Linked DNA regions of Rattus norvegicus. The protein of the gene in region 1 interacts with the protein of each later gene in a biochemical or structural test. Links are inferred from orthologs where the notes say so. Each region holds a gene or a part of one and is shown on either strand. Other genes may lie near its edges.

Region 1 (6,638 bases):
TACCCTGAGTGGACTACTTGAATTCTAAGACTTTATAGCTGCAGCGTTCAGGGCAGTTAGGGGATGCCACTGCAGCAGCATCTGCACAGCTCTGAGGAGACTGTACCTAAAAGGACATGGGCAGGCATCTACCAGGGCTCAAATAACACCAAGTGCAATGTTCCTTGGCCCCCCCACCCCATCTCAGGGGAAGAAATGGTTCTGCCATAACCCGCTCTTCTGCACACATTCTCTGCTTACCAAGAGCAAGTGGCAGGTTACCAGGTATGTTGCCCAACAGGCTCTGGAGATTCTTGAGTGAAGAGGCATTGGAAGGTGGAATTTTAATCAGTGGAGAGCTAATGAATTTGCCCCCAAGCTGCTGCCTTAGGTAGGTTTAGCATTTTTTCCAGGTGATTGGAACATGCAATCTGGGGCAGCTGGCAGTCCTCAGGCCCCAATAGCCTCTGCAGACAAGAGGCTCCCTGGCCCGGCAGGCCTCCTCCATGTGACCACTGTTTGTAGCTGGCAAGACCCTACCTGTTGTTAGGACCACTCAGTCAGCTAAAGGCAGGCTGCACGCCACAGAGGCAAAGGGCCCACGTCTACTTGGAGATGCTTCAGAGGGTGTGTCTGAAGCACTGGAATTCTGCCCCTCCTATAATCAGCTGAACAAATATTTGCCCCAAAAGAGAATCAAAGCAAGAGAGAATGAATAGAAGAGGTCACAGCACAAACCAACAGGAACAATTTAATCATTTATCTCCCCAGGGAGTTCATTTACAGATTGGCTTTCAAGTCTGGCAATCCTTAGCTCAAGGGAACCCACCTCTACCTCAGCCAACTCTACGCTGGTCATCTGACCTCTACTGACAAGTGACCTCCTTGCCTTTACAAGAGCTACTGGAGGGAAGAGGGGTGAAGTTTCAAAGAACTGGGAAACTAGAGACAGGATGGGGTCTCAGGGCAAACCCAGGAGGTCTCTTGCCCCGCCCTAGACCCAGCCTAGGAACAACCAAATTCTTGACATTCCGGGAGTCCATGGTGCATGGTCCCTTCCACCTCACTTCCTTCAATGGATGACTTATTTTCCAGTCTGTCCATTCTCTACATGTTGAGGGGACAGAATACATCTCAGAAGTCGCATTCTCCCCTATTCCAGAATGGAGTTCCCTCCGAACGGTAAATGCCTACCACAGTGGTCACCAGTAAGGGCATTCTCACCTCTATCTCACCCTGGTGAGCACAAGGGTGAGCAGAAGAAAAGGCACTCACTGGTGTCAGCTTCTGCTCGCTTTATCTTTAAGAGTCACAACAGTCTGTGAGAAGCTGAGGCCCCAGAAGGTAAGTCAGCCTGACCAAGGTCACATGGCCAGTTAAGTGACAGGGTCAGGACTCACACCCACATCCAGTCTGTCACCAAATCTTAATTTCCTATGGAGCCTCACAGACCTGGTTCGTGCTCTGCCAGCAGCAAACAGTGCTTTAGTAAAGAGGCCCCAGGGCCCTGAGCAGAAAAACACTGGGCAGAGCAGCTGGAGATCCCCAACTGATCCAGGGCAGTGAGGTACAAAGTCCTGGGGCACAGCAAGGGCTCCCCAAACAAGCCAACCATGGTGAAAATGAACTTAGGGGCACAGCACAAACACAATTGGCTCAGACCACCTTCTCTAAAATCAGACAATATTCAGCCAGTCAAGCCAGTGGGGCTCCTGCCTGACCAAATGGTCTGAATAGCATGCATGCGAGCACACAGGAGCCTGGGGTTATCAGCTCTGCAGTTCCTCCAGGTATTATATTCCTCCCCCCAGCCAAGGTGACCCATTACGTGAGAGTGAGCAGAACACAGGGAGAACTTGCTACTCTCCTAGGTTTTAAGCCAAGTAAACACACAGGCTGTTTTTCTTTGCCGAGAAATTGGAACAAAACTATGAAACTGCGGGGCCACAAGGGTAGCCAGAATGAAAAATACAGGTTCCTTAAAAACAGGGTCATCAATATTCCCAAAGTTAACCCCTGGTATTAAAGTGAAGCCAGGAATGTCTCCTGAATAATCGATATCTTCAACAACCATGCCAGGAGACCAAAAAGGGCAGTTAGGGATCTCCACAGAGGAGAGACACACAAGGGGCGGACACACAAGGGGCGTGGTTCTTACCCAGCCGCCGTTCTCCTGGATCCAAGGCTCTAGGTGGTCATTCAGGTAGGTGGCCATCCAACTTGCAATCCGACTCACCAATACCTGCATCTCCTTGTCTACGCTTTCCACGCACAGTGCCCCGCCAAAGGAGAAGAAGGCCACAATGCGACCCCAGTTTACCCCATCCCGAAAGAGTTCATTCACTACCTGTTCAAAGCTCTGATATGCTGTCCCTGGGGTTATATGAAGCTGGGATGTTAGATCACTGAATGCTCTCCGGTACCGCAGTTCAAACTCATCGCCAGCCTCTCTCAGCGCTTGCTTCACTGCTGCCATGGGGATTACCTCCCGCGCATCCAAACTGCTGCTGTGGCCAGTGGCTCCATTCACCGCGGGGCTATCCGCCAGGTGCCAGGATGGGTTGCCATTGATGGCACTGGGGGTCTCCCTTTCTGGTTCAGTTTCTTCTGGGGCTTCAGTCCTGTTCTCTTCGACATCGCTAAACTGACTCCAGCTGTATCCTTTCTGGGAGAGCTTGTAGGAGAGAAAGTCAACCACCAGCTCCCGGTTGCTCTGAGACATTTTTATAATAGAGATGGGCTCAACCAGTCCATTGTCCAAAACACCTGCTCACTCACTGGGTCTGCTCTGTGTTTAGCGATTCTCTTCCAGGATCCAAAGCCAAGATAGGGTTCTGAAGAGAGAGAAAGAGCTTCAGGAGAAAATTTTAATATGCATGTCATTTACCTTACAAAATCCCCATTCCTCCCCCAGTTACCAGAATTGGTTTCTTTGTGGCTCTTATGAAGGTCTGAGTCCAGGTTCTAAGAGACTTCAATGAAGTCAAATTGAAAGGACCAGCAAGCTTTGAATTGTTTCATCAGCCTCTTTTTACTACAACCACCCACCCCCTTTTCTCCGAAATGCCTTTCTCCAAAAGTCACCCCCATTGGCACATCCCCACCACCACCACCTACATTCAAATCTATCTCCGGCGACAGAGAGCAGGTGCAGCCCCCGGAAGGTCTTTTGTATCATAGGTCGGGAGGAGGTGGTGGCTGGGTCGCCGGTAACTCAGCAAAAAACCCCGGTCCCGGCCGGGATCATGCGACCTGGTAGGCAGGCCAGAGGAATTGCGAAGCTTAGGAACCTGCCCCCTCGCTTGCTTCCTCCATCGCCCAGATCGAGGGCGGCCTCTCTGCTCCGCAGCCTCCAGCCACCCGGGAGCCCAACCCCCTCGCTCTAGCACGCCCCTTGGCTCTCGCCTCCTACTGGGAGCCAGGAGAACTCTCCCGGAGGTATGGGTTTAGTGTAATTTCCCCCCACCCCTCCTTTCTTTCTTTCTATTTAAGTACCAGCCCTGGATGAGGCTTCCGAAACCCTAAAGGGACTTCTCAGTGAATCTCAAGGTTTCGCGCAGGGACGCGGGGAGGGGGAGACGGCCTCGGATCTGCGATCTGATTTCGGAAAGACCACTCCCGGGCCTTTCCAAGAGGAGTAGGCTGGAGACCCCCCACAAACACCGCTAGTTGTCTTTGAATTCCCCAAAGGCTCTGGACATAGCACTGGGGGACTGCCAGGTCCTCCATTCCGCGCCCGGACACAATGGCCGCCGGCACCCCGCACAAAGACGGGGTGAGAGGGAGGCGCTGAGCCCCGCCACTGGCCAGGAAGAAGGGTTGAGGCTCCCACAGCGGAGACCTCGTTTTCTTGAGACCCGACCCAAGGCGGCCTCCTGGAGCCCCCTGCAGGGCTCCAGGACCGGAGGCCGCTACGCGTTGGAGCCCCGGGTGGGTGGGCTGAGGCCTCGCTTACTGCTCGCGCTCCCCTAGGCCGGGTACCCGCCGAGCCACCGCCCCGTTGCTAGGCAACCGCCCTCCCTCAGGGGCGCCCCCTAGACCTCTCTGGAAGGAGGGGTCTCGCCCCCGCGGCCCGCCCCAGCTTAGCCAATCCGCGGGTCGAGTCGGCACGGAAGCGGGACGGCCAAGGCTCCCATTGGGCGAAGCGCCTGTCAGGCACAGGGGAGGCGGCGCCCTCACCTGAGAGCCCAGCGAGCCGTGGGGGGCCACATCCCCCCTTCATCGGCCCAGTGGCTTCCAGATACGAGGGCGTTTTGCGGCTGGGAAGTACGCCGCGGACTTGGGTTGGCCTACCTGGCTGACTGCTCGTGCCGAATCTCCCGGAGAAGCCGGCCTCAGTTTCCCCTGAAGAGACCGGGGGAACTTGCAAGCGCAGTCACTTCCGGTGCCGCGGCAGCGCGCGCGAGCCCGAGACGCAAAAGGAGTGCGCGCCAGGAGGGACTGGCGTTGAGACGTGGGAGAGCAGCGCCCCCTGGCGAGCGATTTGAGGAAGCGCAGGCGCATGGAACGCTAATGGTTCACATTCCATCAATCTAGTTCCTTCATCCATCTATCCGTTTGTATACTACAGAAAAAGTGCTTTTTCCTGGGTGTCCGACATCGGACAGGTTTCCCAACTTGTGTATTTCCCCCCCTCACTTTACAAATAGACAGCAGCATTGACCTTTCATTGACTGTGTATCGATATTACTTGAAAAGTCTGAAGACTAGAAAGCCTTTGGATTGTTGAAGACGGTTATGAACGAGGCAAGGCAAGGTCTCTGTTTTTGTTTTTTGTTTTTCTTTTCCTTTTTTCGGAGCTGGGGACCGAACCCAGGCCTTGCGCTTGCTAGGCAAGCGCTCTACCACTGAGCTAAATCCCCAACCCCAAGGTCTCTGTTTTTATGAAGACTTATACCTTAGGGGTGGAGGCAATATCCAACTAGGAAAATACGCAAGGTAAACTCTAAGGGGAGAAAATCCTGACATTGTGATAATCATGGTGAAACGAGATTTGCTTTAGAGTGAATGAGTGAATGATCCTTTTAAAAATGCAAACCCCGGGGCTGGGGATTTAGCTCAGTGGTAGAGCGCTTACCTAGGAAGCGCAAGGCCCTGGGTTCGGTCCCCAGCTCCGAAAAAAAGAACCAAAAAAAAAAAAAAATGCAAACCCCGACTCTGGCTGGCCAGTGCAGTAGAAAGACATTTATTTACACCATCTCGAACTATGTAGCATATGTTTGTTTGTGAGCCCAGCCTTTAACAACTGAGCCACCTCTTCTGTCTCGCTATTATACACAGTTTTTGTGTTGCTGGGGATCAAACCCAGAGCTTTGTGCATGGTAGTCAGGCTTTCTACCGGATAACTCTAGCAGTAACTCAGTTTTTCAAAAGTTTATTTTATTTTGGGGTATGTGCACGTGAGTGTGGGTGTGTATGGGCCACCATGTTTATCTGGAGGTCTGAGGACAACTTTTAGGAGTAAATCGTGTTCAGGAGTGGAACTCCCATCCTCAGCTGGTGAGGCAAGTTCATTCTTCTTATACGGGGTCTAGTTATGTAGCTGTTTAACTTGGGCTGCCCTTGACCTTGAACTCATAGCAGCAGTTCAGCTTCTGTGGACTGAGAGCTACTGGGATCTCAGCCTCCTGGTGTGCAGATGTCCACAACGTACCACAGGCGCTCTCTTTTCTCTGCTGATTCCTGACTGTGGAACAACATGGCATCAGGAAGAAACTGCTCCTCCACACATCACCTGTCAGTCTGGAGATAGCAACTCACCGTCCTCCGAAGACGTGGCAGAATACACTGTTGGCCACAGAGTTCATTCCACCCTTTTAGGAAACCCCTTGACTGACTGTGTGGTGGAGAGCTGAGCCCGTGTGGGAGCGGACACACCAGAATTGTTTCAATCTCGTTATCTTCTCTGAGCCGCAGTCATCTCAGGTGGGTGTAATTAAACCAGCCGAAGGAGGCAGAGACTAAGAGAAATTAAGAAATTACCTGAAGTAAGAAAGATTGTGTGTGTGTAAGCAGGGGTGGCTATGAGACAAAAAAGAGAGGTGCTGGATCGGAATGGACCCAGGCTAGTCTAAATCCAAAGTCATGAACTGCTTTGGGATCTCTCTCGGGATCCAAATGGCGTGCGTGTGTGTGTGTGTGTGTGTGTGTGTGTGTGTGTGTGTGTGTGTCCTTCACCACTTCACCTCTGTTGGCCTCACGTGTTCCCCTGTTAGCAAAGAGAGCAGGCAGGTCTCCGGCTTTACTGCTATGGCCTGAAGGTTAAATGAGGGATAGGAGCTGTCCACCATCCTATAAAGATGCTTGCCCATTAGCCTGACCGCTGGACTTCCATCTTGGAATCCACATACTGAAAGGAGAGAACTAACTCCAAATTGTCCCCCCCCCCTCCAGCCCCTGATAAGGTGTATACATGCATGCTCGCACCCACGTATGCACGTGTTAGATCATGGGACCTGATCTGTCACTCCCTTCCCCTCCTGCTGCTCTATTGTAAGGCTGTTAACAGGAATTTGTAAATAAATATGCTGTTGTATTTCTTCCCTGAGCCATAGCCAGGCCCCTTAGCTTCTAGCTTTGTAAAGGTTAAGCGATGTCTCTTTCTCTCTGTTTTCTCTGGCTGTTTTGCTCTTGGTTTTTTTCTCATTCTCTTTCTCTTC
Region 2 (4,957 bases), on another chromosome or scaffold:
CTCCCACAGCCTTGTCAACTGAGGGAAGTTGCTGTCCCAGAACCTCCATCCCAGTGAGCCCCAGTCAGCCACCTGACAAGTCAGGTCCCTAGGCCCACTGCAGTCAGGCCGGTTTGCACTGTTGTGACAAACGTGACAAGTCTCCATCCCCACTCTTGAGTACTGGAGCAGTACTGGAGAGATCCCAACTGTTAACTGGGGCTGGTCTCACTGAAGACTGCAAACCTGGAAAAAGCTATGGGTGGCCGGGCCTTGGGCTCCGGTGTTTAGTTCTGTGTCCTGAAAGAATAGCACCCGAAGCAGGTGGCCTTTGTTCTCTGAGCAACTTCATGGAGACCCTGTGGGGCCCAGGGCAGCTGTGTGAGGGTGGGCTGATGCCAGTTCAGAGAAAGCCATGGCTTAGGAACTGAGGAAAGCCCAGAGAAACTGGCTGACCTGCACCCTGAGAAGGGAGTGCACCAAGTACTGGGTGTGCCTCCAGTTCCTACTGCCTGGAGTGAGGCTCCAACTTGAGGGTCACAGCTGCTGAAGAGAGGGCCTAGAGCCTGTGTCCAAGTGAGTAGGAGGCCCACTGAGGCCCACAGGGCTGATGATGGTCTGTGGGGAAGCGCTGGGCCATTGGCACTAAGTGACATCTGCCTCCCTTGCCCAGACCAGAAAGGTCCCTTCCTCCCGTCCCCAGAGCTCATGCCTGCTGCCACCATCTCCCCTCCCCCCTGTATGATCAGAGCCAGAGCAGAGTTAGCTCCTGTCCCAAGGAATGAGCCAGCTCTGATGGCCAATGTGGATCAGCCACCTCTGGTCATTGTCCTTCGGGCTGAGATCTCACCAGCCGGTCCCTTGGACTTGATGCCAGGTTGCTCCATGTCCAAAACTGGCTCTTCTCGGGGCTGGGGATTTAGCTCAGTGGTAGAGCGCTTGCCTAGGAAGCGCAAGGCCCTGGGTTTGGTCCCCAGCTCCGAAAAAAAAAAAAAAGAACCAAAAAAAAAAAAAAAAAAAAAAACTGGCTCTTCTCAGGAAGGCATCTCCTTCATGGTCCCATCTTCCTGGGAAGGGCATTGGGGCTGCCAGGTAAGGTGGAGGTGGCAGAGGGGAGCACAAGACAGCGGGAGTGGGGGTGGGGCAACTCAGAACAAGCACCTCACCCAGAACTGGGAAGTTCAGAACAATTGAAGGACACAATGAGGGCATCTGGGAGGCCAGAGAAAGTGGTCACAGCCATTGGCAGCCATGTGGGGAGGGGCACTGTTTTGGTGTCTGATGGGAATGGGCAGACAGAAACCCAAGTTCAGGTGGAGGCCTTGGTTGGCCTAGAAAGATAATGGGCCAGGCCTGGAGGAGGTATGAGGCCTAGAAGTGGGAGACCTGGCCCTCCTCCTTTGGTGTGTCTTGTGTAGCACACCCCAACACCACAGCTCTTCATGATAGCTACGCCTGCACACACAGGAGGTGACAGACTTCCCCATCAGGATACAGGCAGAAGGGGACAGGAGAGTGCAGAGGAGCTAGGCATGACCATGCAGAGGCAGGCAGATCTCTGAGTTCAAGGCCAACCTGGTCTGCAGAGTGAGTTCCGGGACAGCCAGGGCTACACAGAGAAACTCGGGAGAAGGGGAGCTTTGGGCGCCCACCAGTTCTTATGGCCCTTTTGGGCACAGGACTGGGGGCAGAGGCCACTTTAAATTCCCTCCCCCATCTACATCCACAATGTAACAGCCCCACAGAGGGCCTAAGGGGAGGCTGGCTGGAAACACTACTGAACTCCTGGAAACAACCCTTTATTGAACTCTCCACCCCAAAGGAATCTAGTCCAGTAGATTCCGTGCCTCAAGGCTTCACAGACAGGGGTGTGGCCGGCACTCCCCCCACTGGTGGCCACAGGACCAGCCTGCAGAGAGGAAGGTGGCAGGGGTCAAGAGAGAAGGGCCAGCCAGGCCTCAGGGATATTTAGCCAGTAACGCTCCTGAGGTATAGTGAATTCATTTACCTTACAAAAACCCAGAAAACCTGTATGAAATCTCAGCACTATCCTGAGTTAAATATAAAAAAAAAAAAGGGACAGTCAGAAAACACCACGGTTAGGGTGCCGGCACCTCTAGGGGTTGGGGGACAGGGGCCAGCCCTGCCCCAGCTGCACCTCACTGAAGCTGCAAATGCCAGGCCCCACCCAGCAGCAAGAAGACCAGCAGCACCATGGGAAACAGCTGCCCAGGGTCCTGGTCAGGTGACACCTGTGGGATCAAGAGGGGAAGGTTAGTGAGGCCCAGGGACCAGCTGGGGTGAGGAGACAGCGCTTGGGACTCAGAACTATGCACAGCTGGGGAAATCTGAGACACGGTGTGAACGTGGTCATTTAGCCATTCACCTCGGGGGAGCAGGGGACTTATGACTGAGTGCATTCTCTTTTAGAAGGAGGTTCCCGCAGGAGGGGCCAGAAGGCACTGTGAGTGTGCACTCGAACCTCCCTCAGTTGGCCAAGCAGTTGCTGCACACACTAGGGCTGCTGAGATGGGGCAGAAGTGCAAAGAGGTGGGGAAGAAACTAGAGAGGGGTGGAGACTGCGGGGAACTAGACAGCATGGCTAAGGCACTGCTGGCTGCCCCGTGGGAAGGATAACACTCGGACTAGAGGCTTCAAGGTTCTCACCCAGGCGCCAGGAGTGAAGACTCTCCAGGACCAGATATTTTCCCTGAGGTTGGTGAGGCTTCCAATCAAGCTTCTGAAAATACCTCTGACACCCGTCTGGCTGTAGGTGGCAGCAAGTCTGTAAGACATGATACGAACAAGGTGGGTATTATAGCCGTGGGCGCTGGAAGTGTACAAGTGTGACCCATCACAGTATGGCCTACAGAGAGCCTCTGTGCTCCTCTGGCTCTCTGCCCAGAGCCAGCTCCAAGGAGCATCTCCCACTCTGAAGGCCCCTGAGCCTCTGGGCCAAACCCACACTGCCTTGTGAGTTGGGATCTCTCCGGACTCTCCAGCTTGATCTACTGCTAAGGCCAGAGGGAGGACTGGGGGACCCGGGTGAGGGGTGAGGTCTCAGGCTTGCCTGAGAACTCACACACTCTTCTTCCAAGGTTTGCAGGGCTCCCTTGGGGCCCAGCCCTGTCTGGTTCCACTGGGCAACTGGTTACCTGTGCATAGCAATCCCAGGCAGCTGGACCAGACGGGGGCTCCGAAGACACCGGTCCATCTCATCGCCGATGCAGGCTAGCCTCAGGGCCACCTGGTTTCTGCAGGCAGGCATGCGGCAGTTAAGTGTGGTTATGCTGGGGAGGCCATACCACACACCTAGCCAGTTCCTATGGGACTCCGGACCCAGTGAGGGGGACAGCAGGGGGATACTGAGGAGTCCGCAGCAAACCTTCCTGGTGTCCCCCTATCCATGGGTGCATTTTGGAGTAAAAGCCATTTCAAATGTGCTGCTGTAGGATAAACCACAAAGTACTGAGACATTGGGCATAGGGGCCAACCTGGGACCTATGTCAGCCTGTATCCCATGTCTGCCCTTTGTGGAAGTCAGACACAAAAGTACTGGGGAGTATCTTGTGACCCTGCCTGGACGTCAGGGACAGCTTACCCCAGAAAAACACCTGAACTTTCCTTGAGAGAACCCTGGGGAGGGGAGCAAGTGTGGGTGTTTGGAGCCCCCTTCAGTTGACTTCCTACAGGTCCTCAATCTATCCTGCTCCAAGACTCAAAGCACTTGTGTTTGCACCTTCTCCAGATGGAGAGCGGTAAACCAAATTCCCAAGTGAGCCAGGCATGGTAGCACATGACTTCAATTTAAAGACAATCTCGGGCTGGAGAGGTGGCTCGGCAGTTAAAGGTACGTGTTGCTCCAGCAGAGGACATGTTTGTTTACAACCACCTATAAGCCCAGTTCCAGGGGATGCATCCTCCTCCTCTGAGTACTGCAGGCACCAGGGATGAGCAGAGTGCACAGACGTACGTGCAGGCAAGCCCTCATGCACATAAAACAAGTCTTTTAAAACAGTCAGTCTCCACTGAAACAGGAGACAGTTGTGTGATGAATACACACACTGAAACCAGCCTGGCTAAGCCCTTCCTGGGGTTTGCCCACACATTCCACACCAGCGACGCAGCAGCTCACTGGAAAGCCCCTACGGAGGGGCGAGGGCCACCTGCTCCACACACCCAGTGTCCCAGGTCTAGTCCTGATTCTGATGGTCACAAGGGTTCGAGGAACCCAGAAAGTTGCCTGGCAACCAGGTTGCGAGGTTTTGGTCCCACCTACTCCCTGGGAGACCCAGGTTTCACTTTACTCAGGAACGGAGCAGAAAGTGAGGGGACACTAATTCCATCCAGAGTGACAGAGAACCCAGAAGCTGAGGGTACACACAAAGAGCCTGTGCACAGAAGGGCTCGCCCTGGCCAGCATGGCTGCTCTCTTCCTGCTGGGAAGTGAACAGTGGGTCTCAGACCCTGAGCAGAGAGGGACCTTGATTTCCCCATCTGGTCAGAGAGATATGTCGCTAGTGAAACCAGATGGGCCAGGTTCAGGCTGCCTTGTGCTGGTCCCAACACTCAGAAAGCACACTGGAGCTCTGTGGGGGCGGGGAGCCATCTCCAGGAGCTCCCTGCCCTGTTCTCTCCCACCCTGCCTCCTCCCCTCTCCCCCACTCCTCTCTATAGAAGGAGCTGTTCCAACCCTTGTCCAGTGGAGGCCATTGGTCATTGGTCAGTCCCTACCTGCTCTCCAGGCACCTCATGAAATCCAAGTCTCTCACAGGACTGACGTCCTCAACCCCCACAGGCTCCTTCATGCTGGGAGCCCCAGAGACCACTGCAGGTTGGGGGACCTGGTCGTGTAGAAGAGTCTTGATAATGTCTCTGGCCATTAGTCTCGCCTCTGACATGTCTTCTGTGGGATAAAATAAGACAGGGTGTGACTAGATCCCCAGAACGATGCAACGGTGGCTACTCGGGCTCAGAA

What was found.
Region 2: the proteins of Bcl2l1 (region 1) and Bik interact in a test that uses a peptide from one of them, tested with the Homo sapiens proteins (3 studies listed by BioGRID and IntAct, with this or other methods). The link is inferred for Rattus norvegicus from reciprocal best matches to the Homo sapiens genes BCL2L1 and BIK.

What each region holds. Positions count from the first base shown.
Region 1 is NC_086021.1:161,760,438-161,767,075, forward strand, and holds the start of Bcl2l1 (bcl-2-like protein 1), read right to left. Parts: upstream 4,339-6,638; 5' UTR 4,273-4,338; exon of another isoform or gene 2,898-4,272; intron 2,832-2,897; exon of another isoform or gene 2,814-2,831; 5' UTR 2,702-2,813; coding exon 2,138-2,701; coding exon of another isoform or gene 1,847-2,137; exon of another isoform or gene 1-1,846. UniProt on the Homo sapiens protein: Potent inhibitor of cell death. Inhibits activation of caspases. Appears to regulate cell death by blocking the voltage-dependent anion channel (VDAC) by binding to it and preventing the release of the caspase activator, CYC1, from the mitochondrial membrane.
Region 2 is NC_086025.1:116,568,124-116,573,080, reverse strand, and holds the end of Bik (bcl-2-interacting killer), read right to left. Parts: intron 4,886-4,957; 5' UTR 4,881-4,885; coding exon 4,714-4,880; intron 3,234-4,713; coding exon 3,135-3,233; intron 2,765-3,134; coding exon 2,647-2,764; intron 2,232-2,646; coding exon 2,139-2,231; 3' UTR 1,764-2,138; downstream 1-1,763.